7 linked regions of the Xenopus tropicalis genome follow. The main gene of each other region encodes a partner of the protein of the gene in region 2 in a complex. Links are inferred from orthologs where the notes say so. Each region holds a gene or a part of one and is shown on either strand. Other genes may lie near its edges.

The links.
Region 1: snrpd3 (region 2) and cwc22 share a complex: the UniProt entries of both Homo sapiens proteins name them as parts of the minor spliceosome. The link is inferred for Xenopus tropicalis from reciprocal best matches to the Homo sapiens genes SNRPD3 and CWC22.
Region 3: snrpd3 (region 2) and gemin5 share a complex: the UniProt entries of both Homo sapiens proteins name them as parts of the SMN-Sm complex. The link is inferred for Xenopus tropicalis from reciprocal best matches to the Homo sapiens genes SNRPD3 and GEMIN5.
Region 4: snrpd3 (region 2) and snrpd2 share a complex: the UniProt entries of both Homo sapiens proteins name them as parts of the SMN-Sm complex. The link is inferred for Xenopus tropicalis from reciprocal best matches to the Homo sapiens genes SNRPD3 and SNRPD2.
Region 5: snrpd3 (region 2) and prpf31 share a complex: the UniProt entries of both Homo sapiens proteins name them as parts of the U4/U6-U5 tri-snRNP complex. The link is inferred for Xenopus tropicalis from reciprocal best matches to the Homo sapiens genes SNRPD3 and PRPF31.
Region 6: snrpd3 (region 2) and gemin2 share a complex: the UniProt entries of both Homo sapiens proteins name them as parts of the SMN-Sm complex. The link is inferred for Xenopus tropicalis from reciprocal best matches to the Homo sapiens genes SNRPD3 and GEMIN2.
Region 7: snrpd3 (region 2) and ppil2 share a complex: the UniProt entries of both Homo sapiens proteins name them as parts of the minor spliceosome. The link is inferred for Xenopus tropicalis from reciprocal best matches to the Homo sapiens genes SNRPD3 and PPIL2.

What each region holds. Positions count from the first base shown.
Region 1 is NC_030685.2:63,083,512-63,088,406, forward strand, and holds the start of cwc22 (pre-mRNA-splicing factor CWC22 homolog), read left to right. Parts: upstream 1-1,712; 5' UTR 1,713-1,933; coding exon 1,934-1,960; intron 1,961-4,813; coding exon 4,814-4,878; intron 4,879-4,895. UniProt on the Homo sapiens protein: Required for pre-mRNA splicing as component of the spliceosome. As a component of the minor spliceosome, involved in the splicing of U12-type introns in pre-mRNAs. Promotes exon-junction complex (EJC) assembly.
Region 2 is NC_030677.2:152,604,617-152,609,620, reverse strand, and holds the start of snrpd3 (small nuclear ribonucleoprotein Sm D3), read right to left. Parts: upstream 2,968-5,004; 5' UTR 2,945-2,967; coding exon 2,819-2,944; intron 378-2,818; coding exon 185-377; intron 1-184. UniProt on the Homo sapiens protein: Plays a role in pre-mRNA splicing as a core component of the spliceosomal U1, U2, U4 and U5 small nuclear ribonucleoproteins (snRNPs), the building blocks of the spliceosome.
Region 3 is NC_030679.2:17,540,829-17,545,065, forward strand, and holds part of gemin5 (gem-associated protein 5), read right to left. Parts: coding exon 4,075-4,237; intron 3,669-4,074; coding exon 3,456-3,668; intron 2,751-3,455; coding exon 2,665-2,750; intron 1,986-2,664; coding exon 1,903-1,985; intron 1,598-1,902; coding exon 1,461-1,597; intron 1,247-1,460; coding exon 1,173-1,246; intron 471-1,172; coding exon 289-470; intron 1-288. UniProt on the Homo sapiens protein: The SMN complex catalyzes the assembly of small nuclear ribonucleoproteins (snRNPs), the building blocks of the spliceosome, and thereby plays an important role in the splicing of cellular pre-mRNAs.
Region 4 is NC_030684.2:70,385,995-70,390,732, forward strand, and holds the start of snrpd2 (small nuclear ribonucleoprotein Sm D2), read right to left. Parts: upstream 3,014-4,738; 5' UTR 2,943-3,013; coding exon 2,941-2,942; intron 1-2,940. UniProt on the Homo sapiens protein: Plays a role in pre-mRNA splicing as a core component of the spliceosomal U1, U2, U4 and U5 small nuclear ribonucleoproteins (snRNPs), the building blocks of the spliceosome.
Region 5 is NC_030683.2:104,946,077-104,949,349, forward strand, and holds the end of prpf31 (U4/U6 small nuclear ribonucleoprotein Prp31), read right to left. Parts: intron 1,479-3,273; coding exon 1,353-1,478; 3' UTR 963-1,352; downstream 1-962. UniProt on the Homo sapiens protein: Involved in pre-mRNA splicing as component of the spliceosome. Required for the assembly of the U4/U5/U6 tri-snRNP complex, one of the building blocks of the spliceosome.
Region 6 is NC_030684.2:114,047,263-114,051,499, forward strand, and holds part of gemin2 (gem-associated protein 2), read right to left. Parts: intron 4,052-4,237; coding exon 3,983-4,051; intron 3,318-3,982; coding exon 3,207-3,317; intron 1,796-3,206; coding exon 1,737-1,795; intron 1-1,736. UniProt on the Homo sapiens protein: The SMN complex catalyzes the assembly of small nuclear ribonucleoproteins (snRNPs), the building blocks of the spliceosome, and thereby plays an important role in the splicing of cellular pre-mRNAs.
Region 7 is NC_030677.2:154,127,800-154,132,036, reverse strand, and holds part of ppil2 (peptidyl-prolyl cis-trans isomerase-like 2), read left to right. Parts: intron 1-2,478; coding exon 2,479-2,568; intron 2,569-2,667; coding exon 2,668-2,701; intron 2,702-4,237. UniProt on the Homo sapiens protein: Has a ubiquitin-protein ligase activity acting as an E3 ubiquitin protein ligase or as an ubiquitin-ubiquitin ligase promoting elongation of ubiquitin chains on substrates.

The sequences.
Region 1 (4,895 bases), on a different chromosome or scaffold from region 2:
CCCTATTAGGCCCAATTGGCCTAAGGCTGGTCCTGTATATATACAAATTTTTGATTGTTATAAGTATGATTGGAAAAATTTCTGATGGGTGTAAATTGTGTGAAAATTTGTATTGTGTTCGTACGAAAATATTGTGGTTGCGAACCAAAAGTTATTCAATTTTCGTATCCAAACGATCGTAAATGGCGCGTAAACCTTTCTGACTTTGAAACTTCAGTGCATGATTCGGAAAACTTCCATAGGACTCAATGGCACTCTGCAGCTCCAACTTGGCCAAAAGAAAGTCACGATACCCAAGCTTGAATGAATTCCGAAATGTTTGTAATCATTGCGAAAAATATGACTTTTGCATAAAAATTTATGCAAAACCCGAATAAGTCGCGTAATTGTACCGATATTTTCGTGGTCATTACAAAAAGTTCTAAACTTTACAACAATACAAATTTTTTTGCAATCGTGGTCATCGTGCTTCGATAAATGTGCCCCTATGGGGCTGATTCATCAAAGCATGAGTTCAAATCTCGAAATGGGTATAATTCAGATTAGATACAATAATTTCTCATGATCGGAAATGTCACGAAAATGCTTACGAAAAAATCGTATTAGTCACGATAATATTGTATCGGCGATCCGAAAGTGACTAAATTTTCATATCCGAATGATTGTAAATGGCTTTGATCCTTCTGTGCATGATTTTGGAAGCCTCTCATAGGACTCAATGGCACTCTGCAGCTCCAACCTGGCCCAAGGAAAGCCTCCCATAGGGCTCAATGGCACTCTGCAGCTCCAACCTGGCCTAAGGAAAGCCTCCCATAGGGCTCAATGGCACTCTGCAGCTCCAACCTGGCCCAAGGAAAGTCTCCCATAGGGCTCAATGGCACTCTGCAGCTCCAACCTGGCCCAAGGAAAGTCTCCCATAGGGCTCAATGGCACTCTGCAGCTCCAACCCGGCCCAAGGAAAGTCTCCCATAGGGCTCAATGGCACTCTGCAGCTCCAACCCGGCCCAAGGAAAGTCTCCCATAGGGCTCAATGGCACTCTGCAGCTCCAACCCGGCCCAAGGAAAGTCTCCCATAGGGCTTAATGGCACTCTGCAGCTCCAACCTGGCCCAAGGAAAGTCATGATACCGAAGCTTGAATGAATCCGAAACTTTCGTACTCGTTACGACAAATACGATTTTGTGGCACAAATTGTTGCAAAGTACGAAAAAGTCGCAAAAAATACGCGCAGTACAAAAACTATTCGGAAGCAATCGTACTTTGATAAATGTACCCGTGTGTGTTTCACATCATGTTACAGAAGCCCTAAAAAAAAAGTGTGTATGATGTGGAAAGTGTCCGTTCCTTGGTGACAGGCTGCCGTCAGTAATCAGACTACTATTTAGCAGGGCCCTCACCCCAGGGAATTTCCTGCACCAAGTAAAATAGAAACTCAACAAAGAATGGACATGAAAATACTGCAGTTACCACTTATTTTTTAACAATGGGTATTGGAAAGAGCTTTCTCTTATTAAACAAAAAATATTTAGCGGTTTAAAGTCCCTTTAATTTTAAATACACTGGTACCTAGGAAGAAGGGCCTATTTGTGTAAATGATTAAATGTAAAGGACTGCAATATAGCTACACCGCTTATTACAGCCAACGCTGCTATTTTAGCTTCTCCTTGCGACTCTTAGTCCCGTTTGTCCTGTCTCGGCTCCCGTACATATCACTGTGCGCTGGCTAGAATAGAGAATGCTGGGAAACCGGAAGTGTATTATGTCGTGCAGTGTGAGCGGTATTGTAAATAGAACACTGTGCGTTTAATCCAATAAGCGGGATTGTTCTTTATGTAATTTGATTTGGGTGGCGGTGACCAACAAGCGGTTGTTTATTCTAAGTCTTTACATTTTCCGATCTCCCCGAGAAGCTTTGGAGGGGGCAGCTTGGTATCATGAAGAGTAGCGTGGCCCAAGTCAAAGTAAGTTTTCTGCTTACATTTACCTTATGGTTACAGAGTGGCTTTATCCTGGACTTTCAGCTTGAGATCCTATAGCGAATGGAAAATTACAACTTGCAGTAACCTCTAACGCTGAGGATCAAGGGAGCTATAGTTCAGCAACTTATGTGGGGCACTCAGCCCAATGCCTTGAGGGTCATAACATTTGAGTTCGGGATATTTAGTCCAAACTATGCCGGAACTAAATTCCCAGAGGATCATTATCTTCCTTATGACAGGGAACTGGTTGACGTCTCTACAGTTAATAAAGGTGGAAAAATTGTATAAAAAAAAAGACAGAGGGGGGGGGGGTCAAAGCTCCATGTTTTTTTTCTGCCCACAGTGCCCCATGCCATTAATGTATTATTTACTTATATAGCACAGGCATTCCTCTGCGCTTGACATATAATGCAGTATTCACATTAGTCACTGCCCCAGAGAAGCTTACAATCTAAGGTCCCTATCAATTCATGCCTAATAATTTTATCGAGACCCCGTTAACCTGCTGTATGTTCTTGGAGTGTGGGAGGGAACCAAACTACCCATGCATAAACGGGGAAACATTTTATTTATTACCCAAGTAAGTCCCTTTACAGAGCACTTACTCCCCAGGGTTTCTTCTCTCTGCATAAATCTAGCGCTTGCAGAGCGGGTCCTGATGCAGGCAGTGCCTCCTGACACACCATACATTATGCCTCTGATTGACATTAAAGGAGAATGCAAGTCAAAATTTAAAAAGCATACTGCCCAGTAGTCCTATTGTTTAGTAAAAACGCCACACTTTTGGCTCACCTAATCAAATATTTACTTGGTTACACTTACTCATATTTTCTAGAACAGGCAGCCATCCCTATTTCCCCTTCCTTTCCCTCCTTGCATCATACTGCACATGTGTTTCATTCCCTCCCCCCCCCCGGCAGATCCACTTCTGATTGGCTGGTGGGCATGTGTAGCTCAGAACAGGAGACAGGATCAAGTTACACACATGCTCAGAGAATAGGAAGGCTGCCGCTGGCACCTACAGGAAGGGGAGAGAGATTTTAGTGATGTCACTATAGTCTTCACACTGCTGTAGGCTGCCGAATCCCAAAATACTGGCATCCCTAGTAAAGGCTAAATGACTCTGAAACCACAGAAAATCAACAATGTGTATCACTTTCATTGTATACTTCATCTTGGGAGTTAATTTAAGGGCCTTTAAGTCAGAGCAGGATGTTCTATGTGACTTGCCAGCTTTTGTTGAGTTACACCTGCCAGCAGCAGCAGCAGATTCTGGTTTCAAAAACTGCTGGGCCTTGTGTTAGAGATTATTTATTATGAGTTTGTTTACACAGGGAAGTTTGTCATACAACAGCAGCCTGCAGCTTTTACAAGAGGCACCAGGCAAGCACAGTATTCAAATGTAATACTAAGCAACGTTCCAATATACATTCATTAAAATGTGTCAGTGATGTTACTGTTTTTATGTAAATGTATTTGCTATTAAAATCAGTAACTGTTTGGCTGGTGCATCCTATTCACTCCTGGCTCTGACTCCCAAAACAATGTTGCAAGCCACCTGATTTACAGAACTGAAGGAGACCTGACAAATTGTTATAAGAGTCAGAAAACAGAAAGAGGTAAAAAACTTGCTTCTTGCTTCCTTTCCAAATAACGTTTTAATGATAAAACCCATGAAAATGATACATTTATGCTTCAATGTTGCCTGTTATTGCATTTTCTTAGTGCAAAAAATGATACTTTTTGGCTGGAGATAACTCTGGTCAGGTTATCTGCCATTTTCTGGAATAAAAATGGCAAATACATCGGTCACAAACAGATATATGTATTTAGAATCTTGACGTAATATAAAATATACAGGTATTGAAGAGCAGGGCCACTATTGGAGAGTGTAGGGATTCTGTAGATGAAGACCCGAGATAGAAAGAAGCAATCTATAGCTCACAAAAAGAGTAGAAGTTTATAACTAGTTGGCAGGCTTTGGGACAGACTAGTGGCTTGGCTGTGCATGTGAAGGGATTCTCTTCTACTCCCTGAGCAATAGACAGAAGGGCAGACACAAGTTATATGCACAGAGATACCCCTTGAATTTGGTGGTTGCAGCAGAACAACATCTGATGTACAGGTATGGGACCCTTTTATCCAGAATGCTCAGGATCTGGGGTTTTCTTGATAAAGGATATTTCTGTAATTTGGATCTCCATACCCTTAAAGGGGAAGTAAGCCTTTTATCTTAAAAGCCCCTAAAATGACTTTGTCTGTTGCAGACTCTGTATCACAAACAGCTCAACCTCAGCTCTCTCAGATACTTCCTAATCTTAGGTTGAGCTTCTTGTGATACAGAATCTGCATCGGACTGAGTGCAGAAAGAAAGGGATGTTATACTGGGGCTGTATAGAGTCTTATTTAGAGAGAGAGGGGGAAAAAAAAGGTTTACTTATTTTTTGTATGCTAATAATCATTTAAATGTTAAATAAACGCAATAGGATTGTTTTGCCTCCAATAAGGGGTAATTATATCTTAGGTGGAATCAAGTACAAAGTACTGTTTTATTATTACAGAGAAAAAGGGAATCATTTTTAAAAATTTAAATTATTTCATTAAAACCGGCCATTCCCCTAATTCAATGCTATCCGGATAATGGGTTTTTAAATTATGAATCCTATACCTGTATTGTTTTCCACATTTCATGACAAGTTTAAGTACAATGTATCAACAATGTACAATGTATCATTTCTGGCCTTCCTGCATTGGGACTGTTCATAGCTCTTGTTTATAAGGGACTAGTTTGTTGTGCTTGTATTTCGAATGTAATATTCTTTCTGAATTTTTCAGGGTGCTAATTATGACAAAGTAGATACTCGTAGCTCTTCTGAAAGAAGTTCCTCATCAGAGGACAGGTAAGAATGCAAAGTGC
Region 2 (5,004 bases):
ATTTCTCTATGCCTTTTGTTTTTCCCTTCCTATTCTCCTTGGACAAACAATTCCTTCCAATAACAAAATAAACTAATTTAACAATTAGTAACTTAAACCAAGGGAACGGAGGGCTTTTAATGATGATCATGGAATTTTACAGACATCACCCTGTTAACCCTGCCCCTACACAAATAAAACTTACCTTGGGCCTTGAGAATAGCTGCTTTTCCTCTGCCGGCACCAGAACCCTGGTTTTTATTCTTCATACTCTTTAACATGGGAGCATTTTTCAACATGTCTGGGAGGATGAGAAAACGAATTTTGCTGCCTCTGATGTAGACCTGTTCTAGTTGTGCCACTCTGCCATCCCTGTACGTTACAGTGATGTTTGACATCTGAAAGTCAAAGTACAATTTAAGCATCCATGGAGGGAAGAAAAAAGGACACAGGCTTAACATACAGCACTATGTGAGGAATTCTATTACAATGTTTTATATTTATAAAGCTTTAACGGGATCGTGTTTGACTTCACACTCATGTCTCCCCCTTGTTTAGCTCAAAGAATAGCCAAAACCATGTTCTTTTCCTGGGAGACAGCACCAAGAACATTCATACACAGTAGAAGAATGTTTAGAAGACCAGTCTTTGCAGTTTTAAATTTCCTTTAATGTATATCCAAGTTGCGTAGAATTAAATTTTTTCATTACAAAAACAGTTTTTGGCTGGAGGACCCTTTTAATTAAAATAGCCAAAAACAACCTATTTATTGTACAAGGTAATATACAGCTGCGTTAAAATGCTTTAGAAACACTGCTATAGTCTATACCAGTAATGCCCAACCAGTGGCTCCCAGTGGACTTTAAGCAGGTGCTTATTTTTTGTAATTTCTGGTAAGGAGGCAAGTTTCTGTTGCATAAAAACCAGCTGTATTGCCAGCACAATCCTGTAGGCTTCCAGTCCCCATAAGGGCTACCAAATAGCCAATAACAGCCCTTATTTGGCAACCCAAAAGAATTTTTTATGCTTCATTTGCTCCCAAACTCTTTTTACATTTAAATGTGGCTCACAGGTACAAAAGGTTGGGAAACCCTGGTCTATAGAAATAAAGCTGCATGGGGGCAGCTATTCAAACAAAGAGGGCTGAATGGCACAGGTGACAAAAAGATAAGCTCTGTAAAATACAATACAGCTTATGTAACCAGCACCTTTAGGGCTCTGGCACACGGGGGAGATTAGTCGCCCGCGATTAACTCCCTGTTCGCGGGCGACTAATCTCCCCGAGTTGCCTACCCCTGCCATCCCACCGGCGAACATGTAAGTCGCCGGCGGGATGGCAGACGTGGCGGCGCGATTTCGCGCAAATCGCCGAAAAAGACTCGCAAGTCTTTTTCGGTGATTTCCGGAAATCGCCCCGCCGCGTCTGCCATCCCGCCGGCGACTTACATGTTCGCCGGTGGGATGGCAGGGGTAGGCAACTCGGGGAGATTAGTCGCCCGCGAACAGGGAGTTAATCGCGGGCGACTAATCTCCCCCGTGTGCCAGAGCCCTTACTCAGTTTATCCCAGCTTGGATGGCTGCCCCCACTGATACACAGCAGCTTATTTATATGAACTATAGTAGTATCAGTGGGGGCAGCCATCCAAGCTGCTGTGTGTTACTGAAGCAAACACCAGTTCTACCAGTGCAGGGTAACACTACATCGTATTTTGATTACTTTGAAACACTTACATAGTTTAAAAGAATAGGAACACCAAAATATGTTACCGTTTGGCTTCTGTGGGTAGATAAAGGAGACTTTTCTCCATGTTAAAAGAGAAGTTTATACATGAACAACAGAAGAGTGCTTAGTAAAAAGAGCAAAAGGAAATTGTCACCCTAAATATTTTTTAAATTACACAACAGGAATGCAATACGGGTGTAGCCACACCCCACTAACTAGGCTCCTGTAACTAACAGTTTAAAAGTGCATAGCAACAACAGCATTTACATATTTTACTTCTGCTCCTTATCACTGAGCTTTACTGTGAATATACTGACATCTAGAGACACAGCTAGGAAATTGAAATAGATTAGGATTAAAGGAGACATTGTATAAAAATTAAGAATGTACCAGTAAATTATACTCCTCTAGATATAGAAGGACTGTGGTTTAAAAAAAATTGTTTTTTGGACTGTTTTATTGAGAAATTCCACCAAAACCCTAATAGTCCCGCCCATCTGTTCCACTTCCTGCTGGCTGGATAGGAACCAATCAGCAGCTAGGATGACCTGATAGGGAACTGAAGCCTGTCTCTGCTTGTGTGAGTGCTGGGCTGTGATTGCCTTCCCCCCTCCTACTGTGCTTCTGGCAGGGACCGTTAGGACACGCCCACCCTTCATTTTAAACAGGGACAGAGAACTGATAGGATCTACAGGGAGCTCCAATAAAGAGGCCATATTTACAGATGAGTATTTTTTAGCCCAAATGAAACCCGCAGCATATATTGTTCATAATTGTCTACAAAATTAGGTTTTTTTTTCCCCTATTTTTCCATGTCTCCTTTAAGCTATTTACGCTTCTGACCACAATATAACTGCTTCTTTTGCAATGGATAGGGTAACCGAGGCACTATATAGGGAATAAATAGGTGCCTTTTGGAAAATACTTTGCCCCTAACAATTCACACACACATTTTTAGTTTAACACAGCCTTTACAATTGTTGGTCCATAAGGTCTATCACTAGAGTTTATACTGCAATCACCAACGTACTTACAAACATGGCATAAGGTAAATATTTATAAGTTTAGGTGCACTTGCTATAGATATAATACGAATGACTTGCTTATTTTACTTACTTGGCAGTTCATGTTATCCTCTGCTTCAATCAATTTCCCCCTGTATACCTCTCCGGTGTTAGTTTCACATGTCACAATGTGGCCTTCTGCCTCATGAAGGACTTTAATTGGTACACCGATAGACATATTGAGAGCTAATGGAGATTAACCTGCAATTGGAGAAATAAAAATTAGCAAAAAAACGTGGAGAACATACAAAGCGCAACGCAGGTTACTGCATACAATGCAGCCATGTGCAAACTATAAGGTATATTCAAATAAAAATCCTTATTACATAATGTTTATCCAGCCTAAAGCTTTAATCACTTACAGTCTATAAATTCAGCCATACATATGCACACAAACATGCCCAGCCCTTCAGAAACACATGCACGTTAGGACATCGCAGCAGCACAACCCGCAGAAGCAGAGGAGTAACCCTCAATGAATGAGTTCCCTGGGATACTGGCACTGAGGCCTACACAAACGTTTCAGTGCCCCCGGCCTAAGGCAGGAATATTTATAGAAACGGATAACGGACTGGTAACACAGTGAGATGCGTTGGGCCCGGCACCCTGTATATAACCTCACCATAAGGCAATATTTAGAGGGAAGCCCTGCTCACACTCATACAAAGCTGCCAACCGCACAGACCTAAGGGAAAGCGAACAAGCGCCGAGTAACCGAGACGCACACCCCGCCCAGATATCCGCACGCTGCAACCCCCGGGCCTCTCTGACAATCCTGCAAAGCGCAGACTTTTTACCGAACTTTTGTTTGCTTTGGGTAATACTTACTAGCGTGGCTCTGTTCTGCGTTCTAATGGCGTCCCGCCTGCCCCACAATGCACAGCGAAAGGAAACAGGCTGTCGTATCTCTCTGCCCCCTTTTCCCGGCGACTGCACAAGCAAACAACTTCCGGTGGGAAACAGATATGAGTGACTTAGTTCCGCTCATCAACCCATTTATCTATTCACACCATTTAAGAGCGGCTAGTTGCACTGCAACTTTTCATATTATATATTATGAATTATTATTAAATATCTTGAGCTGAAACCTCCAATTAGACTCAGACGTGCAATCTGTGGATTGTGATAAATGCCAGAAGGGCTGCTGTAAGATGTCACAGACACTATTTATTGGGGTGATAGGGGGCTATTTGGGTATCCGCGTATAATTAAATGCCAAGGCCCCATTTCCAGTCCGCACCTGATCAGACTGTTTCTTTTAGTCTGCGCTTTTAATAGGTGCTGATTCTGACTTTATTAACTGAATTGGCAGACCGCTGGCATATGTATGGGCCCAGAATGATCAGGCTTATTTTGTTTATATATCTGCTGAATGCATTGTTTCTGAACTGCCAGAAAGCACATGCAACATTAAGTAAAATGGACAAAATGGCATCTGTGCACAAAAATGTACCCCTGCTCACTGCTGTAAAATGTAGATTCACCCCCCATTCTACCATGAATGTATGTATGTGCACATACAGGACTGGAATTAACCTGTCACTGCAGCCTGAAACTGCTGTTTGTGCCATTAGCCTAAAATTGCAGGCTGCGCTAGTAAAACCATCACATAATCTTGAGGTAAGGGTAATGGCATACACGGTTTAGTTGCCCATTGGCTTTCCCACAAAAGGACAACAACATTACCCATAGCAGCTATATATAGATAGTGCCATAGGCCACAGTGGAAACACATTGAAGAAAAACAAGATGGCTTATTCTGGTATTGGCACAATAATCCGCATTAGTCCTGTTCTTCTAGCAGCCAGAAATTGGGCATCTGGGTGAGAAGGTCACCAGCGGATCTATAACCAATATGGCCACCTAGTTGTGGCTGACATCAGGCAGATCTGTGAGGGCCAAATGATCATTGTAATAGGCGCCTGTGTAGGCCATCAGGAGAGGACCATATCAAATATCTGATGTAGTCCTCCTCCAGATGAGATTTTTAAACCTGCCCAACATCTGCCTGATATTTCACCAGATTGCTATTGGATAGGCTGTAGGACAAGACCCATAAGGTGGCCATGCATGGTAAGATCGCTCATTTGACCAGATCAAAAAGCGAACAGATATTCTCCCGATATGCCCACCTATGGGCGGGTGATATTAGGAAAATTAGATTGTTTGGCCCTAGAGCCAAAACAATCTAATTTAAAGGCAGGCATAGGCGCCATTGGTTTGAGGACTGCATGAAGG
Region 3 (4,237 bases), on a different chromosome or scaffold from region 2:
GGATCTGAGCCACCAGCCCCTAGAGCTGCACACAGAAGCTACTGAGACCAAGCTAAAAGGGCAGCTGCTATCTTAAACAAACTGAGGGAGCTTCTAGGGCTATTTATTCAGGTATAGTAAAGCTTTCTGCAGTATAAATATAGGGTTCTAGCTTGCACTATTGTGGATAATTTATTGGCACTAAAATGCCACCATCACCAACACAAGCTCCAATAACATTTTAGACTAGGCCACCTTGAATTGACTGCACTGTTCAACCAGAGGAATATTATTGTAACAAATACTTACCCAGGGGCCCTTTCAGGTTGTGCACGTAGACAGTAGCATTGTTAGATCCAGATGCCAGCAGAAAGTTCAAGTCAGGGTCTTGGCTATGGCCATGATGCCAGCGCACAGCATTCACTAGCTTGTGATGCTGCTGAATGGTACAGATAAGCTGCAGACGCTGAGTGTGGAAGACCTCAATGGTTCTGTTTAGATGTTAGAGGGTTAAATTATATCACAGCAAAAGAATATGTGGCAGAGCAGTACTTCAGCAGGCTGGCAAATTAGATTTGCCCCAAAATACAGGCCCTCTGCATTTTTATGCCTTAAGAGGCATAAGATATCTCACAATATTTAAAGCTAAAACAACCAATCATACAGAAGCACTCAAACGGCCAATCAGAGCCTCTGATGGTTCATAGTAGTTTAACAGAAATAGGATTAGGTTTTAAATGAATGTATCATTATATTATAAACACATATACTTATTAGGCATATATTAATTTAAGACATAAAATATTTACACAAAACAGGAAATAAAATTAAAGTGAGGTGGATCCAATCAATGGAGGCAACCAGAGTGCAAATGCAGGGTAAAAGCTATGACCATAAGTTGCTGGGGCTGCCTTGGATAGAGTTAGAGAGAGAGCTGAGACCAACATGTACTTTTGAACATGAACTGCATTTTCTTAAAACTCCCTATGACTTCATGGGTTGCAGTGAAAGGCAGTTTGTTACACTGTGATGTTATAACCACACATACATTTTCAAGTAAGAACTGTCTGTGTTTCCTATTAAGTTCGGTGTGCTGCTCTTTAATGTTACATTTTCAAAATGGCACATTCCATTTATGTGTGCCACTTCCTCTAAAAGAAGCATAGTGGGGAAAAAAATATTAAGGGTCTCACCCATCTTCATTGCCAATAGCTAAATACTGTCCATCAGGTCTCCAGCTTAACTCTGTGTGTGCTGGTAACTTGTGCTGCAAAAGAAAAAAATCCACTAAACCCCAAGAATAAACTGATTACAAATAAGGCACAAATTAGGCAAGAGAAACCATATAACTACTCAGCACTCTATTCTGCAAAAACCCTATGGCTCATTTGGTCATATCATATAATCTGCCCTGCTTGGTACATGAAAGGCAAAGGAGACAGAGCTGACTGTAATTCCTTTAATACACTCTTTGCACTCACTTTGATGTCATTGGTGTCCCGGATCAGCTTGTTAATATTACTGGCTTCATCTGTCAGTTTCCAAGGATTGTGCTGGTAAATAACCCCTTCCCCCCCACAGCTGTACAGTGTATAAGTAGGACGGTCCCCTTCTGCTCCTGTAAAAAATAATAATAATGGCTGTATTCCAAGTAAGGAAAACAAAGACATCTTCCATAGTTTACCTTTATATTTGATGTCTATGTTCAGAAAATATATGGGTAAAATTTATTTTAATCTTTAGTTAAAGTACTGGGGAGAGCCTAATATAATATATCATATTTAATATAGCTGCCCAAAAGATGGCCACAGACGAGTAAATACATTACAGTATATCAAAAGCAAAAGGCAAGTTAAACCTGGATACTGCTGACACCAAGTCCAAAGACAAACTAGAGGGATGGAGGGGGGAAAGAGAGCTCACCAAATGAGAATGGAGGCAGCAGAGGTCCCCATGATAAGGAATAAACAGTCTTTTTGTGGTATGTAGCAGAAATCTGAGGGGGTCTGTTAAAAAAAAAAAAAATGCCCAAAATGTTTCTTATGACAAGAAATCAACAAACAGTTCCTGTCCTATATAGATGCCCCTTAACAATCCATATATCTTTCTAATTTCATACTATTGTGTAGTTTCAAAGCAAATCCTGAGTACTGCCAATTGTCCTAATGATTGGGGGCAGCCAAAAATATCCAGATTTGGACAGATGTTGGGATTTGCATAATAACTGATCCCAGTAATGACTGAATTGGACATAGCGGTATGCTCAAACTAGCTTTGATAGGCTAGTAAAAACTAGGCTAAATTATAAACTAGTTAGATTGCTAGCTCACACAGAGCTGCACACACCATCACAAACTGGATTCCTCAGGCTGCATTGCAGGCCTGTGTTCTGGGAAAAAATGCCACATATCACACTAATCTAAAAGTGGTTAACCTGCATTTGCAGCCAAGTTGGGCTATCAGGAGAGGGTTTGCCAATGTGGTAAAAACTCAACCTGCCTATTCACTTTTCAGCCATGTCAGTCAAGCAGGCTGTTGGGCAAGCTACATAAATGGGCCAATAAGATGCCAACTCACTCTGGAGGGGCTGATTTGGTAGCTTATAGTGGCTACAATATTGCTATTATTTCTATATGACACAAATAACAGTGTTGGCTGTACACATTATCACAGCTCAGTCCTTACTTGCTGATGTAGACCTCAAAGATGCCAACTTTCCCATCCTCGGTGCCAAAAGCAAGACTGCCCTCTTTGGTCGGATGCCATGACAGCTGCATTAGGCAAGAAGGAAAACTATCAATGCAGAATATCAACCTATTTTCTAAGCCAAAATATCCCATTGCAGACTCAGAGTTTCTGCCTGCTGTTCTCATTATCAGTTTAATCAGTGCAAATGGACAATAAAATTAACTTTAAACTAAAACCCTCCTACTGAACATAAATTCCTTACATTATGTAGCCTGAGAGGCAGAACAGCAGAAATTGTAACCATTTATAAAGACCTTAATATCACCTGCCCTCTTTATCAAAATGTAAGTTTAGAGCTTAATACATTAAAACTCATCCGCATTTTATTCATTTCTATGGGATTTTTAGATGTGTATTTATCAATGGGTGAAAATTAGAACTCACCATTTGATAAATACGCTTTTAAAAATTCTATAGGAATGAAGAAAACCTGGGTGAGTTTTTATATATTCAGCTGTAAAATCACATTTTAATAAATATGCCTCTAAATGTCCAAATTTGAAATAGTTTCAAATTTCTGAATTTCCATAGTTATATTTCCATTGCCTTAAACTCCTGCATGCGTAGATAACATTAGGGGCAATCTGACCATCTAGTGCTGTCATTTGGGCTGTGATACATGTGGCAAAACTAGTGAGAGGTGCAATAGGAAATCCCACTCTGCATTTGTTGACACTGATTGTATGGCTGCATATACTGGTAGCTTACATTACGCAAAGGCTGCTTACCGCAGTGACCTTGGATCTGATGCCCTGCCACAGGGTCTTCACATCATATGCATTGACAACCGACATTGTATTCCATACACGGATCATGCTGTCCCCCACCCCAACAGCCAGGCTGCCAGCTGCTACCGGGGAGAAAGCTAGGCTGTATACAAAGCCACCGAGGGAAGTTAGGGACCAGCAGCAGGACAGGGAACCCAGATCCCAACATTTCACCTGGGAAAGAAAAGGGCAGCATTTCAATTAGTACATTATTAAGCTAATTTCCGCCACTATTTATAGTGACAAGCTCCTGTTAATTCTGGGAATGGGTCAGTATCACTTTAACGAAAGGTCAACATTAAGTTTTGACTTTGCATTGACACTGACAGTATTTCTATTTAATAGTAGAAAAATCAAATTTTTAAGGAAAAGTACTTTCTGGGAAAAAAACTTATAACAGTGTATAACAGCTTAAAGGAGAAGGAAAGGCCAAAATGTTAGGCACCCCCAAGTGACTTTAATCGCCTACCTTTTACCCTGGGCTGGTGCCCCTGCTCGGAGAGAAGAGCACCAGGCCGGGGTACCTGCAGCGCTTCCTTGCCTTGTCCTTTAAAGCAAAATAATTTAAAGAGAAACTCACATCTCGGTCCATGGAAGTAGACAGCAAGAGCTCTTTCCCTTCCTCAGTGACCACAGAACAAAGGTTAAAGACAATTCGAGAATGATTCTGTCCATCAGAGGTGCCAAGGAGAGTCCACTTCTGCTTCCCAGATTTGGTTAAATCCCACAGGAGCAATTCACCC
Region 4 (4,738 bases), on a different chromosome or scaffold from region 2:
TAAATTATTAAACCTTTTAATTACAAACAATGGTGTCAGTTAACAAAATCACAATATGCGCTGTCCAACTCTTAGTTTTGTGTATAAGTGCAGGGAATTATTTGGCAATATGTTATTAACATGGATCTATAAAGTGTCAACATATTTATTGGCACTGTGCAATAAAAGGGTGTATACATACAGATTATTATAACGCGCTGATACATTCTGCAGCTCTTTAGAGAGATTATAAACCATTCATGTCACTATTAGCCCCACCACAGTTTAGATTTCATTAACATACTGGTCTATGCAAGAATTGGGAATATATACAGTGGTGTGAAAAACTATTTGCCCCCTTCCTGATTTCTTATTCTTTTGCATGTTTGTCACACAAAATGTTTCTGATCATCAAACACATTTAACTATTAGTCAAAGATAACACAAGTAAACACAAAATGCAGTTTTTAAATGAGGGTTTTTATTATTTAGGGAGAAAAAAAATCCAAACCTACATGGCCCTGTGTGAAAAAGTAATTGCCCCCTGAACCTAATAACTGGTTGGGCCACCCTTAGCAGCAATAACTGCAATTGAGCGTTTGCGATAACTTGCAACGAGTCTTTTACAGCGCTCTGGAGGAATTTTGGCCCACTCATCTTTGCAGAATTGTTGTAATTCAGCTTTATTTGAGGGTTTTCTAGCATGAACCGCCTTTTTAAGGTCATGCCACAACATCTCAATAGGATTCAGGTCAGGACTTTGACTAGGCCACTCCAAAGTCTTCATTTTGTTTTTCTTCAGCCATTCAGAGGTGGATTTGCTGGTGTGTTTTGGGTCATTGTCCTGCTGCAGCACCCAAGATCGCTTCAGTTTGAGTTGACGAACAGATGACCGGACATTCTCCTTCAGGATTTTTTGGTAGACAGTAGAATTCATGGTTCCATCTATCACAGCAAGCCTTCCAGGTCCTGAAGCAGCAAAACAACCCCAGACCATCACACTACCACCACCATATTTTACGGTTGGTATGATGTTCTTTTTCTGAAATGCTGTGTTACTTTTACGCCAGATGTAACGGGACATGCACCTTCCAAAAAGTTCAACTTTTGTCTCGTCGGTCCACAAGGTATTTTCCCAAAAGTCTTGGCAATCATTGAGATGTTTTTTAGCAAAATTGAGACGAGCTTTAATGTTCTTTTTGCTTAAAAGTGGTTTGCGCCTTGGAAATCTGCCTGCAGGCCGTTTTTGCCCAGTGTCTTTCTTATGGTGGAGTCGTGAACACTGACCTTAATTGAGGCAAGTGAGGCCTGCAGTTCTTTAGATGTTGTCCTGGAGTCTTTTGTGGCCTCTCGGATGAGTTGTCTCTGCGCTCTTGGGGTAATTTTGGTCGGCCGGCCACTCCTGGGAAGGTTCACCACTGTTCCATGTTTTTGCCATTTGTGGTTCGCTGGAGTCCCAAAGCTTTAGAAATGGCTTTATAACCTTTACCAGACTGATAGATCTCAATTACTTTTGTTCTCATTTGTTCCTGAATTTCTTTGGATCTTGGCACGATGTCTAGCTTTTGAGGTGCTTTTGGTCTACTTCTCTGTGTCAGGTAGCTCCTATTTAAGTGATTTCTTGATTGAAACAGGTGTGGCAGTAATCAGGCCTGGGGGTGACTACAGAAATTGAACTCAGGTGTGATAAACCATAGTTAAGTTATTTTTTAACAAGGGGGGCAATCACTTTTTCACACAGGGCCATGTAGATTTGGAGTTTTTTTTTCTCCCTTAATAACGTAAACCTTCATTTAAAAACTGCATTTTGTGTTCAATTATGTTATCTTTGACTAATAGTTAACGGTTTTGATGAGCAGAAACATTTAAGTGTGACAAACATGCAAAAGAATAAGAAATCAGGAAGGGGGCAAATAGTTTTTCACACCACTGTACTAAATCAGATATAACACTATTTTTCTGACAACAAAACGTCTACTGGTGATTTTTTGTTTAATGGAGAATACAATTTTATTAAAAATGGGTTACCCTATTAACTGTCCATTTTGGTACGATTTTAATTACTAGGTTTAATTTTCCCCAAATAATCATGTTTAAAGCTGTTTTTACCCATCGCTATCTACTTGCTGCCTCCATGTTTTTAAAGGAGTGCCCCATAGTCAAAAACATTACTGAGCATGTGTGAAGTCCCACCCCTTATTGCTAGAGCAATTAAGCCTTAATAAACTAACAAAAAAGTCTGGGCTGAATGTGTTAAAAGGCATATTTTTCAGTCATATGCATTTTTTAAACACAAATTAGTGTTTAAGTTGACCACACAGATCTCTATAATCGTGCAAGCACATAAAGCTGCAGAATATTTCCTTTGTAGAAACTTGTCATGTGGGTCCAACCAGGAAAGATATGGAATTGATTAGAAATTGATTGAAAACATTTAGAACCATTGAAAATGTTTAAATCGTGTATACTGAATAGTTGCTTAGTATTAAAAGACACATATCGGATTTGAATTGGGCTAATAGAACCCGCACTTAGGTTGGGGGAAACAGTACCATTTTGTCCAAAAAAATGCTCATAGCGATGTGCCACCCACACCCGGATGATGGAGAACTTGCTGCAGGTAGCCATGTTATTAACATGCCTGTATATAGTGAGCAAGTGTCACATGCAATTGCATAATGAGAAAACCCGGGGAGCTGTTTATACACACGACCTGGTGCTGGTAGCCTGCAAGGGAAGCTTTTTGGCACTGCCATCTCTGCCACAGTAATTAAATCACAGAACTACACAGCATTTTCTAAGTGCAGGCAAGTTCCGGCTAGTACAATCGCATGCTCTGCTACATAGAGGCATTCGTTCTAAGCGTCAATCAGCTAAACTTAAGTAGATACAAAAGGCTAGTTTTTTTCCTTATTTTTAAGTATTTAAAGCTGGGCTGAAGATATTCCACCAGTTACTCACATCTTTCTTTTTGTCTTTCCTTTCCCTTCTCACGTTTTCCCGGCGTGTAGAACGCTTCCTTTGAAGGGCCACTTCCGCTTCCGGGCCACTTTAGCGGCTAGTTCCTGCTTGATTTGGTTAAGCCTGTAGAAACGTGCCCACGTGATCGACACGAAACAAGTTCCCTCCAGTTTGCTACGCAGAGGGGCAGCGGCGTAATCTGACAGAGAAAAGGCGGGGTGGATTAGTTAACAAAGAGGGCGCATCTAGTTCCTAGAGTGGTTATAGGACAAGGCAAATCTTATTCCAATATTGTTCCAGTATGTAAGGCAACGCTCTGTGCTGGGAATTCAGTCGCTAAAGAGCGCAATAAGAACAGTTCCATGTTTCATTTTGACCATGTTTTCTCAGATTGTGCAATTGGAGGGATATACCAGTAGGTGGCGCAATTGTTACATAATAATTATAATAGACGCTTATAACATGCTTAATAACTTTGAAACTGAAAACAAATCTGAATTGCAAAAGCATTTGGAAGACCGACCAGAAAATGTGTACACTTTTTAGTGTCCTATTGTGTAAAATAACTGAATGGATAGCTTTACTGCGTAGCAGATTTAAAGGTGTTCTTCACCTTTGAATTAACTTTTAGTATGATATAGAGCAGTGTTCCCCAAACAGTAGCTTGCGAGCAACATGTTGCTCTCCAACCCCTTGGATGTTGCTCCCAGTGGCCTCAAACCAGGTGCTCATTTTTGAATTTCTGGTAAAGGAGGCATGTTTTGCAGCCATAAAAAACAAGTATAATGCCAAACAGAACCTTCTGTAGGCTGCCAGTCCACATGGGGGCTATCAAATAGCCAATGATAGCTCTCATTGGCACCTCCAGGAACCTTTTTCATGCTTGTGTTGCTCCCAAACACTTTTTCCACTTGAATGTGGCTCACAGGTATGAAAGGTTGGGGATCCCTGATGTAGAGTGTAATATTCTGAGACAATTTGCAATTGGTCTTAATTTTTTATTTGTAGTATTTTTTTTAGTTCTTTCACTTTTTGTTCATCAGCTATCTTAGAGCTAGAGTCCAGATTACCTTAGCGACCAGGTAGCAATTTGAATGAAAGGGTGGTAAATAAATAGGAGAGGACCTGAATAGAAAAACAAGTTATAAAAAGTAACAATAACAATAAAACTGTATGCTCACCAAGCAATAGTTTTTTGGCTGCTGGGGTCAGTGACCCCTATTTGAAAGCTGGAAAGAGTTAGAAGAAAATAAAAAAATGATTCAAAACTATAAGAAATAATGAATAGGAATAGGCAATTCTATAACACACTAAAAGTTAAAGGAACAGTAACACCAAAAAATGAAAGTGTATAAAAATAATTAATATATTATGTACTATTGCTCTGCACTGGTAAAAGTTGTGTGTTTTCTTCATAAACACTACTACAGTTTATATAAATACCCTGCTGTGTAGCCATGGGGGCAGCCATTTAAATTGAAAAAAGGAGAAAAGGCACAGGTTACTAAGCAGATAACAGATAAGTAGCAGATTCCCATTGTATTCTACACAGTTTATCTGGTATCTTCTTATGTAACCTGTGCCTTTTCTCCTTTTTTCAATTTAAATGGCTGCCCCCATGGCTACACAACAGCTATTTCTATTAACTACAGTAGTCTTTCTGAAGCAAACACACAACTTTTACCAGTGCAGGGCAACAGTACATTATATTTTAATTATTTTAAAACATTTTTATTTTTTAGTGTTACTGTTCCTTTAACTTAAAGGTGAACCACCCCTTAAAGGGTTTGGCAGTGAT
Region 5 (3,273 bases), on a different chromosome or scaffold from region 2:
CAGGGCTACTAGTAGCAGCTACTTGACACAGCTACTAAAACTGACAATGCTGATCATTTACTGATAACTGGTGTGTTTTAGCAGAATTGTAGTACTGTCTATGGCAGGGTATTTTCTGGTGTTTAGTAGCTGCTACTAAGTAGCTCAGTGTGTCTTCACCCTTAATGAATTGACATATTTGTCAGATTGTGTTTGGCTGGTTTGAGCAGTTGATTATATTCATTTTCTACAAATGTCAGTACTCAGTGCAGCTCAGCAGTAGCACAGAGTACCAACACCCTTCCAAATTGCATGTGGGGATTAAGGGCTCTGGTACACGGGGAGATTAGTCGCCCGCGGCAAAACTCCCTGCTCGCGGGCGACTAATCTCCCCGAGTTGCCTTCCCTCTGCCATCCCACCGGCGAACATGTAAGTCGCCGGCGGGATGGCAGACGCGGCGGGGCGATTTCGGGAAATCGCCGAAAAAGCCTCGCGAGTCTTTTTCGGCGATTTGCGCGAAATCGCGCCGCCGCGTCTGCCATCCCGCCGGCGACTTACATGTTCGCCGGTGGGATGGCAGAGGGAAGGCAACTCGGGGAGATTAGTCGCCCGCGAGCAGGGAGTTTTGCCGCGGGCGACTAATCTCCCCGTGTACCAGAGCCCTAAGGATTCTGAACCAAATACTTGGAGAGCTGCTTAAGCAAACACAAAAAACTTGAAGATAAATTGCAAATTCTCAGACTATCACTGTCTACATCATACTAAAAGTTAATTTAAATGTTGACATCCCCTTTAATATAACTGAATTTAACGTGCAACAATAAAACTCAATTTACAGCCTTGTATTGTATCTAAATAAAAACAAATATGTATTATATACAAGGCAAATCCCACCTGTAAAAAACAAAAAAAAAAAAATAGTTGGCAAGTATCAGCCTTTCCATGTACAATAATAGTAAAAAAAAAAAAAAAAAAAAAAGTATTTAAAAACAAAACTTTCTGAATTGTCCAATGGAAAATCTCTGGTTATCAGCCCGTCCTTCCAAGTTATCCCTTTGACTGCTGACAGCTCAGGAGCCAGTATATTTATATTCAATCCAGACCAGGTACATACAAATGGCTTCAGATCAGTGTTCACCAGTTCATTCATCAGATGATACTAGTCTGCCCAGTAAAGGACTGGACAGACATTGAGGGGCTGGTTTTACTAATGTGGGTGCTAAATTGCCTCAGTGCATTCATCGCACCCATGTAAGAATTTGTTCTGAACTGTCTGCTGTAAGTTAGAAACAGCTAAATTCTAATTGCTTGCTATGGGTAACTGCACTGGCACAGTTTAGCACCTGTGTTAGTAAATTAGCCCTGTAGTGTCTCACTGTGTCATGGTGCCAGACTTCTCACTTTTCACTTTAAGGAATTCCGCCATGCTAGAAAAGTACTTCTGGTTTGCTTCAGCCACTTTCTTTTCTGCCGCCTGAGGATTAACAATCTCCAACCCCTGCAAAGAAAAGAAACCAGTCACTACACTGCACACAGTCTGTTCTAGAGTAATAAATATTTGGTTGTACCAGAATACAAAACAGAGCCAGAGGCTGACTGTACAAAACTCTGTTGCCCTTCAACTAATTCCCACTCATAACCGGTCCTCTGATTAATATGCAGTTTACCACTGAGGGACAGTGATCAGTTCTTTTCCTCTTGAGCTTTATGGAGGGATCATAAATGTGTACGGTCAACACACAAAGCTCATTTCCATGACTTGTTAGACAGGCTAAACATCAGAAAGTTAAGCTTTTCATCTTTATTCCCCCAAAATTTAAGCAAACCCAAAATATGTTTTGCCTTATAAATGAAACAATGAAATTCTAAGCAGCTTTGTAATATACATGTATTGTGTGTTTTTTTTTTTTTTTTTTTTAAGTTGTTTGTATATATTATTGCAATTAAAAGCAGTGTGCCTTTCCTTTTCTGTTCTCTGCCCCGGAGGCTCTTACTTTAGAAACAATGTAACAAATCAGCAGACTGACAGCCCAACCTTGCTGGAGGAGACTTACTTTTTAAACAATGTTGCAAAGGCAACAACCAAGAGTTACACACATGCTACTGTAAATCGCAGTTACATTTACAAGTAACTTTTAAAGCACTACATTATTTAATAAATTCATATTGGACAGTTTAGAATTATCATTAACACAGTTGTAACCTCTAAACCCTTTACAATCTGTACTAGATTATTAGATATACATTGATCCAAGGTGTCCCATTTTCAGGGTCGGACTGGGCCCAGACCCGACCCTTGCGGAGCTCCCCCTGCCCAGACACGTTAAATTTACCCGCTCAGGGAAGGACGTCGGGTGGGGGAGCGAGGCTGTGGGCGCTGGCCCCGGTGGGCCCTTCACCCCCCATTCCGACCCTGCCCATTTTTCATATTGAGAGAGCACAAAAAATTGGTAGAAAGGGGTACTAATCCAGGATCAAACCCACAATAGTTATATAATTAGTATAATAAAAGGCAATCTTTGTCACCATGCCAACACTAAGAACATTAAAATCATTTAAAACACAGTATTAGCAGCCACTATTCCATTGGTATTATAGGGGGCCCCCACTCTGCTAGGTGCTGTACACAGTGGATGATCAATGTGTTCCAAAGAAAAAAGTTGCTCTGCCTGCAAACTGATGGAGTGAATTGCTGAAGATATCATAAGCTGAATAGACAGTAATGCATAAGTATTATCATGGGCACATAATTGCCAACTTTATAACAAGCTCATTGGAAGTAACATTGTTGGAGAACTCCTTTACTCCAATCAGAGGAGAGCGGTACAACTGTAACACACTGCACACTATTAATATTGGCACAGCAAGATGTTTATTTGAACCCTATGGAAACAGGACATTCCTACTATAGAATTTATTTATCACACTCTTTACAATAAAGTTATCTTTATTGTGAACACAAGGATGGCCCTGCTTACTTTTTAACATTGCTATAACAGTCTTTATAATATGTCTATCCAACAATCACAGAGGATGAGTGCCTCTGCATTGCTCTATTTTGAATAGTATGGCGATTTGTATGATTGCAGACGGAATGGTCTCAGGGTGGGACCCCTTCCTGCGAATGGGTGCTGCTTTTGGGTTTTAAATGATTTTAATATTCTTAGTGTTGTCACGCTGACAAATAAATACTGTCTTTTATTATACTAATTGTATAACAATATTATATATTATATAACTTTGATCCTGGGTTAGTACCCCTTAATACCATTTTGTGTGCTTTGTTTAGAATT
Region 6 (4,237 bases), on a different chromosome or scaffold from region 2:
GACTTGTTCTTTAACCTGTTTATCCCAGTACAAAAAAACAAAAAAAAACCCCATGCTATTTGCCAGTTGTGCACTGCAAATATTCTGGAATCAGACCGTAAGAGCAAGTGAAACGTGTCAGCGACTCACAGCACAAGTTGGTTGCCTTCATTTTAGGGAAAGTGTTGGCACAATCTGTTTTAGCCAAAATTTGAACATAATATTTAACATTTACTATTACAGTTGCAGGTTCTGCTGACATAATATTTGAGAGCACCGACTGCATCCAGGGAATGAAGAGTGACCTAATTCCTCTCCAGGTTTGAGACAAAATGAAGGAATTGTGATTTCCTGGTTAATGTGGAACTGTGATTCCACCTTGGTTAGGAAGGGGGGGAGACAGTGTGCAGAACTGCTTTGTCAAGATGGAAAATGAGAAAGAGGGATTCACAGGATAGAGAATAGAGTTCTGACACCTGGTGCGCAGATGATATGGCCACAAAAAAAACAGTCGTCCATGTGAGACTAACCAGGGAAACTGAAGCTAAGGGCTCAAATAAGAGTTCTTGTAGTGCCCTCAGCAAAGTTAAGATCCCAAGGAGGTCAGGGACTTCTGAAGGTAGGCCCCAAGTGGGGTGCTCCCTGGCGAAAGCATTCACATCCAGCAGCAACAGCAGTTGTTTTTTGTAATAGCACCAAAAGGGGCAATATCTGGGCATTGAGAGAATTCAGGCCCGAGGTCAGGCCCAATTGAAGGGAATTTGAAATCATTGGTGTGGACAAATCATGGAATGAATGTGTTGTTAACACCAAGGATAATGCTCTATGGAAATCTGAGCTGCGTCTAGTGCTGCCTCACAAATGTAAGAACTGGCCTTCTTGATTTGAGGGGCGAAGCGGGCCAGTTCCTGCACCCGATGTGATTATCCCAGAGCCAGAGGGAATAGGGGCTAGGGGTATGTCCACCCTCAGGTAGACAGGAGGCGGCAGTCTCAGCAGAAGCAGCAGTGCCTGGTACAAAAGCTGCAGGAACATCTGTGGCCTGGCATGATGCACAATGAGAGTCTGTCTACTTAATGGAGTCCATGCCCCCGGGAAATAAGTTGTCACTATTATTCGCTGGTATGCACAGAGGGAACTAAGGACAGTGATCTCCAAGATGGGGTCCCAAAGGAAGATTAGGAGCGTCGAGCAGGGAAGGGACAGTACCTCCCCGCAAGTGTGGGCAGCCAATAGTACCCCTGAGTGCACAGTTGGTGCCCACTATGGAGGAAAAGTGAAACTGTCGTGTATCCAAAGTGTGGTAAACTCGAATAACCACCCGTTACAGCCAGGAATAGAGGCCTATAGAACTGCGTAATATGCAACCCAGGGGTACTGCCTGAGTAATAGTTGCTAGTGCTGGGGGCACCCCCAGTTAGTACTATGAAGATTAGGTGCAGAGTACGGCTAGATGGCCTGCTCTTCAGGAGTGAGAAATGATCCTGGTGCTGGAAATATCCCACAGAGGGGGAAGCCTGAGAATGCAGCCCGGTTCCGAGAAGGCTGGTAGGGACAACCCCTAGTGTTCCTATGTCCACAAGGAGATGAGACAGATTCTAACGGAGATAGCATTCCTGTAGCTTTCTGGATAATGATTTTCCAGAAAGGGATCCCATACCCTCTAAACATTTAAGTTCTTAGAACTCTTCATTCAGAGTCTTCACTTCTAGTTCAGTACATTGCAGCCAATATTTCCACCTTGCGAGGCTCATTACCTGCCAACCAGACAGATGAATAGGTTCAGCGCAGACACCCGTTCATCTTCCTTATGTTCCTAGGATAAAGAACATTCACAGTTATTCATATTATCGGCTGAAAGGAGCAGCTGTCCCATCACACATACAAATCACTGCCTGGCAAATCATAGAAAGCTTTCTGGAAATTCCCACATTGCTCCATACACTAAATCACATACTGTAATCAACCTTCTGGCCTGAAAAGGTTTAAATTGGTTGTTTCTGAACAGGTGAATCCCAGCTGCCTGTTTTCCCAAGTGAACCCCACACACCAGTTGCCAGTTCAGGATATGTGAATGAATCCTGAAAAGTGCAGCCAAAACCTAAATTTTGGGGACTGGTAATACCAATAAAGAAGGTTTAAAGGGGCTGTGCACCTTTTAAATTACCTTTAAGTATGATGTAGACATTGATCTAAGACAGATTGCAACTGGTCCTCATTTATTTTTTTGTGGGTTATTTTTTAAGTTACTCTGCTTTCTGTTCAGCGGCTCTCCAGCTTGGAATTTCAGCAGCTATCTAGTTGCAAGGGTCTTATTTGCCATAGCAACCAGGCAGTGGATTAAACAGATTGGAATGTGCCAATGAGAATCGGAAGTTGAGTAATACAAAGTAAAAATAACAGTAAAATTGTAGCAACACAGAGCTTTTTTGGTTGGGGTCAGTGAGCCTCATTTGAAAGCTGGAAAGAGGCAGAAAAAGACAAGTAATTCAAAACATATATAAAAAAAAATATAATGAAGAACTACTGCAAAGTTGCTAGGAATAGTACATTCTATAACATACTAAAACCTAAGTAAGAAGTTATCCATCCCATTAATAGTCAATGTGTCATTATGATTTGGGGAAAAAACAGAAATTAGTCAAAATGATTAATGAAGTTAGTAAACCTCCGAGGAATACTAAAGTAACAATCAGAATCATTTAATGTTCAGCTTTTTAACAGCTTCTATAGATTTGGCTATGTACACATTGTAATATGGTTCAGTAAACAAAATAGAGCATTTTAAATGGGTCTACTGGGATAGGTAGTGCTGCATAAATCTTCTGGTCTCTTTCTCTAACAGCCGGAGGGCCACATCGCTTAGTATTCTGACGTAGTCACAGTGCAGTGGGGCGCATGGGCTACTCAACAGTGCAGCCTGTTTGCTGGTCATTGATCTGACGGGCTGAAATCGCGTTAGCCAATCAGATCAGGGAAATGCTAATGAAGGGGCATAAACAATAAAGTTTGGGTCCTAAAATTTCTCCACTCTTTTTTCTAACAAGATTCCAACAAACAGGAGCTTTCATATCCAGGGGCTTGGGGTCCCCTGGTTTAGGCTGAGAGAAGACAATATGAAGCACTAACGTTCCAGGTAGATATATTGAAAAATGATCCAATTTTTAAGTAGACCACATTTATACATATTGTTTAAATGGCAAAAAAAAAAAAAAAAAGGTTCTTACCACCCCAGCTCTGACTTGTGAGCATCTCCGTGCCAACTGCCTAATAAGAGAGTGAGCTTCAGGCAGCAATGGTTTCTCCAGGCAGGCCAGTAGTGCGTAAAGCCAACGACCCTAGAAGACATCCGCAGTATATCTGCATTACTACTTGGGCAGAAAAAGTTGTGTGCAACAAATATTGTGCTGTAGAGTAGAGCTTGCACAGTAAGTATACAGTGAGGAATGGTTCAATGAAAGATGAAGACTATAATTACAACTGTTTTTTTGCCATGTATTGCACTGCACTGAGATTCAAAACAGGCCCTGGCATTTCAAGTACACAGAAAGGCCCAAACACCCCCCACAGGCCCACTAAATAGTGACTATGGCCTCTTACTGCTGCCCTTCTGGTATTTGCCACAGATTAGCAGTCTGGGCCTGCACCCAGTATAGTCACAAGTATGTGACTATGTGCTGATCAGTACTCAGTAGGCACATAGAAGTTAAACAAAATTGTTTAGGTCTGCAACTGTTGGAATATTCTTTTTGATTCAGGGATCTACCAATAATAAGCTACGGTTCTAGATTGTAAGCTCTTTTGGGCAGGGCCCTCTTCACCTCTTGTATTGGTTATGGATTGCTTTATATGTTACTCTGTATGTACAATGTATGAAACCCACTTATTGTACAGCGCTGCGGAATATGTTGGCGCTTTATAAATAAATGTTAATAATAATAATAATAATAATATAAAGACAACACATTGTAAATTAAGATATATATCTATATATATGTTTTACCAGCTCTGGAGTAAAGTTCCTTTCTTCAAACCAGTTCACTAAGTATTCTAGCACACTTGTTACGGTCGCCTTAAAGACAAAATAATTACAGAATAAAAAACACAGATGAATAGATTCTATACAGTTATGTCAACATAAACAGAGTAAAACATAGCAGGACTGAACTTGTACCTGTAATTGTTTTGGCCAAAAGTAAATGGTTGGCAAGACCGATGTCCATTTATTGCCTAATCCTGACTGGCACAGGTCATCGTT
Region 7 (4,237 bases), about 1.5 Mb from region 2:
AAGATAAAACACCCTGAATTTGAACACCAGGGGTCCACTGAACAGTTTGATGCCCAATATGTATAGGTTTACCCAAGTATGTGGCATGTAGGGGCCCGAATGGGAACATACCCCCATATGATCTATCATTTCAGCTCCTGCAAAATCAACACATTTACATCCTTTATGTGGGATAATGCTACAAAAAAAGTACATTCACCCCAGAAAGCCATATATTTTTGGAAAATACACATCCCCCCGAATCTATAATGGGTAAATATTTCTTATTGCTACAAAGTACCAAGCTGTAAAGCTTTCCTAAGTTTGCAGATTTATATGACATTTCGAAAATCGCATAAAAATGTTGCAATTTGCCGCATTTATCTCTCACAATTTCTTGATAAAGATCAGATAAAGACAAATCACCCCAAATAGGAACACCAGAGGCCTACTGAACAGTTTGATGCCCAATATGCATAGATATACCAAAGTCTGCGGTATGTACTGAACCCTAAATGAAAATAGCGCATAAGGATTTCTCGCCTGCCAGCTCAGCTTTTGCACACAGAGCCCCCTGTCAGTGTATTATGTGCAGTAACCCCCCCTAACTATACAGTGACCCCCAGAAAACCATATATTTTTGGAAAGTACACATTCTGATGAATTCAAAATAGGTAAAGTTATTTTTGTACACCAAAGTTACACCTGGCAAAGCTATGCTAAAAACAGATCAGGAACACTTATATAGGGATAAAATGTGATAAAACCACAAAAATTGTGCAAATCAGTGAAACAACAAAATAAGTTACATGACAGTGTAATTAGTGGCCAGAATATCTGATCCAATAGTTACGCTGTCAAAATAAACAGTTTTTAGGTAAAAGAAAATAAAAACAAAGTGGTAAAATGAAAAAAAAAAAAAAAAAAAAGCAAAACAAAAAAAACCAAAGTGTTTGTGTATACATGTGTGTACATGTGTTAAAGTTGTGTGATAGTGTGTAAGTGTGTATATGAGTGTAAATAAGTGTATAAAAGTGTGAAAAATGAAAAAAATAAAAATAAAAAAAAATGCTAAAATGTGTGCTGTAAGTGTGTGTAAATGTATGTAAGTGTGTATAAATGTATGTAAAAGTGTGTGTAAGTGTATAAATGCAAAAAAAAAATAATACTCCTTACCTGTCCTGAAGACCGATCTCCTCCACCTTCAGTGGCGCCGGCGCTGGGGGAGAGAGAGGAAGCAGCAGACGCGATGCGATCGCGTCTGCTGCTTCCTGGAGGGTCCTGCGAGCGATCGGCTCGCAGGACCCTGATGACAGCCCCCCTGGCACATTGCCGCCGTGGCACATGCCGCCGCTGCAGAGGGCAGCGCTTAAACGCCAACGACGTATGAGACACGTCGTTGGCGTTTAAGCCCTTTTACTGCCAGCACGTATGCCATACGTGCTTGGCAGTAAAAGAGTTAATCCATTTGTAAAACTCACAGTTGCACCATACAAAGTATATTCTGCCCCAGTAGAAACCAATAATAGATAATAGCAGAATTGCTTACCCCGTTTTTGTGACAGAGGAGCAGGCAAATACAGTTCAGGTGTGTGTGGTGGGGGGGTTGTATATTAATCTCTCCATCATACCAGCCTGAAACACTAAATGTGCCTGCAGTGTAGCAGTGCATTTTACTACCTGGGTAACAAAGAAAAGTGTCTCTTGTATTGTAATTTTTAAACTGCAAATACCATGAGGGTGAACACTAGGTTACATAACTGATTTGTATTTTAATTCCTCCCTCGGTTACTTAATGTAGCATTCTGTATGGAGAAACGGTTTGTGTATGCAGTTGTATTTTAATTTGTCATTTAATAATGTCGTACTGTACCTCTGGGGGGCAAGTAGCAGACTGTAAAAGTAAGAAGGGATGGAAAATCACATTATATATGAGAAAGCTTCTTTGCAGTTGACTCATAACAGACATTGTAGCTGCCATAGCAACACCTTAGCAGTTTTTCATCCTGTTACTGTGGCAATGCAGATCTGGGTGTGTTATGAGCAGCTCACTGAGAGAGCTACGGTGGGGGGGGATAAGCATTAAGTGTTAAATATTTAAAGAAGTGCTGACCCAATTTATCTTATCTGAGTAAGGACCACTTATCTAGTGATCTGTTGTACCCACAGCAGGCACAAACTCATGAATAGGAGGCCTTAGGAATTAGGAAGTGTAAACATGAGTATTTAGTGCATAAATAATCAAACTTGCACACTTAGGACTTGATTCGCCTACTTGTTGTTTTTGCTGTGCACCATGTATATGTAAATAAGACAAAAATATATATTTTTTAATACTTTTAAAATACATTTATTGTAAATACATAAGCATTTGTCAGAATTTACAATTTGGCAGATATAGCATACAAATAATAGGTGGGGATTAGGCCTTATTAAATTTTGTCTTGGTTTACCTCTTTTTAAAGTATTTTGTTGGTTGGGTTGTTTCTACCTTTTTAGACTCCCAAGACATGTGAGAATTTTGTCAAGCTGTGTAAAAAGAATTACTACGATGGTACAATCTTTCACCGCTCCATCCGTAACTTTGTGGTGAGTACCGGCAACAGTTCAGACTAAATTTAGTGCATTTTGGTTAAGGAATATTCATCAGGGAACGTGAACTGAACCACTCCATGTTCATTCTTTCAGATCCAAGGAGGGGACCCCACAGGCACAGGAACAGGTAGGCCATGTATCTCTCTTCTGTTCTCCAGGTAACCAACTTGTTGTTGGTTTTGTGCTTTCTGAAACTCAATTCCCAGACCTTTCTACTTGCTGTGATGTAACTCGCTCAGTGTAAAGGTAATGCCATATGCAGATCTTTATAGCCTGCCTTTCCCCAGACATAATGGCATAATATTTTAGCTTTAGTACTTGTTTAAAGGGCTGCTATGGTATAGTTAACCAGGTTATACAAAATGAGAGAGGTTTATTTTAACTTACCAAGATCTTTTAAGAAATGCTTTAAATGGCAGAATTTAGTGACAGAAGAAATGTTTTGTCTTTTACATAAGTGCTGTACACAAGCTAAACCAGTCCTACAGTCTTCTTTAGATAGGAGTCCTAGAATTTGTGATCTATTGAACTTTCCTAGCTGAGGGGTTAAGTTGCAAGTGCTATAACCAATTGTTGCTTTATAACCGTCGTCATTTGAGAGATTTGCTTTAGTGGCATAACTGGTGGTGGTGGTTGACTGAAAGGGAAACTGTATTGCTTAGCAGCATTTCAATTGTGGCACCTTTTATTGCTGCTGTTTTTAAGAAACTACATTACCATGGGGTTGGGTTAAAACATAAGCAAATAAAGTTAATTTAAAGATATTTAAAGATTATTTGTGGGAGTACAGGCTTCCTGCGTTCCGGTCAGTAATTTAGTTTAAGCTGGCCATACACGTGGCGATCTCACGATGTTTCGTACGACCGTCGGTCGCACGAAACATCGTCAGATCCGCCACACACCATTCAGGGCTGAATCGGCAGGTAAGGAGGTAGAAACAATAGGATTTCTACCTCCTTCTGCCGATTCAGCTCTGAAGGGAGAATTTTGGTCAGGCGCCTTCTATGGCGCCCGATCAAAATTTTCTAACTTGGCCGATCGGCGAGCCGACCGATTTCAGCAGCTTCCTGCGATATCGGTCGGCTCGCTGACATGCCATACACGCACCGATTATCGTACGAAACGAGGTTTCGTACGATAATATCGGTGCGTGTATGGCCACCTTTATAGTTTGTGTTTGCTATCTCATTTTACCAACTTGAACAAGTTCAGCTCCCTCTTTCTGTATCTTTCTGTATCTCTTTCTGTACCTACTTCTTTGGTCACTTATGTTGCATGTGCACCATTTACATTAATACCCAAGTGGTCTATCCCTTGTCTTTTTCAGAGCTAGGCCCTTAATGTACAGTTACAGATATTATTCCTTTTTAAAATCCCAGTCTGATGCAAAATGTGGTTAGTGGAGAGATATATTTATTCTGCCATAAGTATTATGAGTATGAGTTTACATAAAAGGAGTAAATGTAGGGGTTTGGTCTGTTAATACTATGTGTGGGGTATTCTGCTATAAATCTGTTTTTGCCTGATCACACCATATGGGATGCTTGGCTGCAACCTTAGTATATGGTAAGTAAAGGATTTTTTACATTTTAGAAGGAGTGCCCAAGGTTTTGGCTGCCAGTTTTTAAACTGCGGAGGTTGAAGCAAGACTGAAACGTCAAGC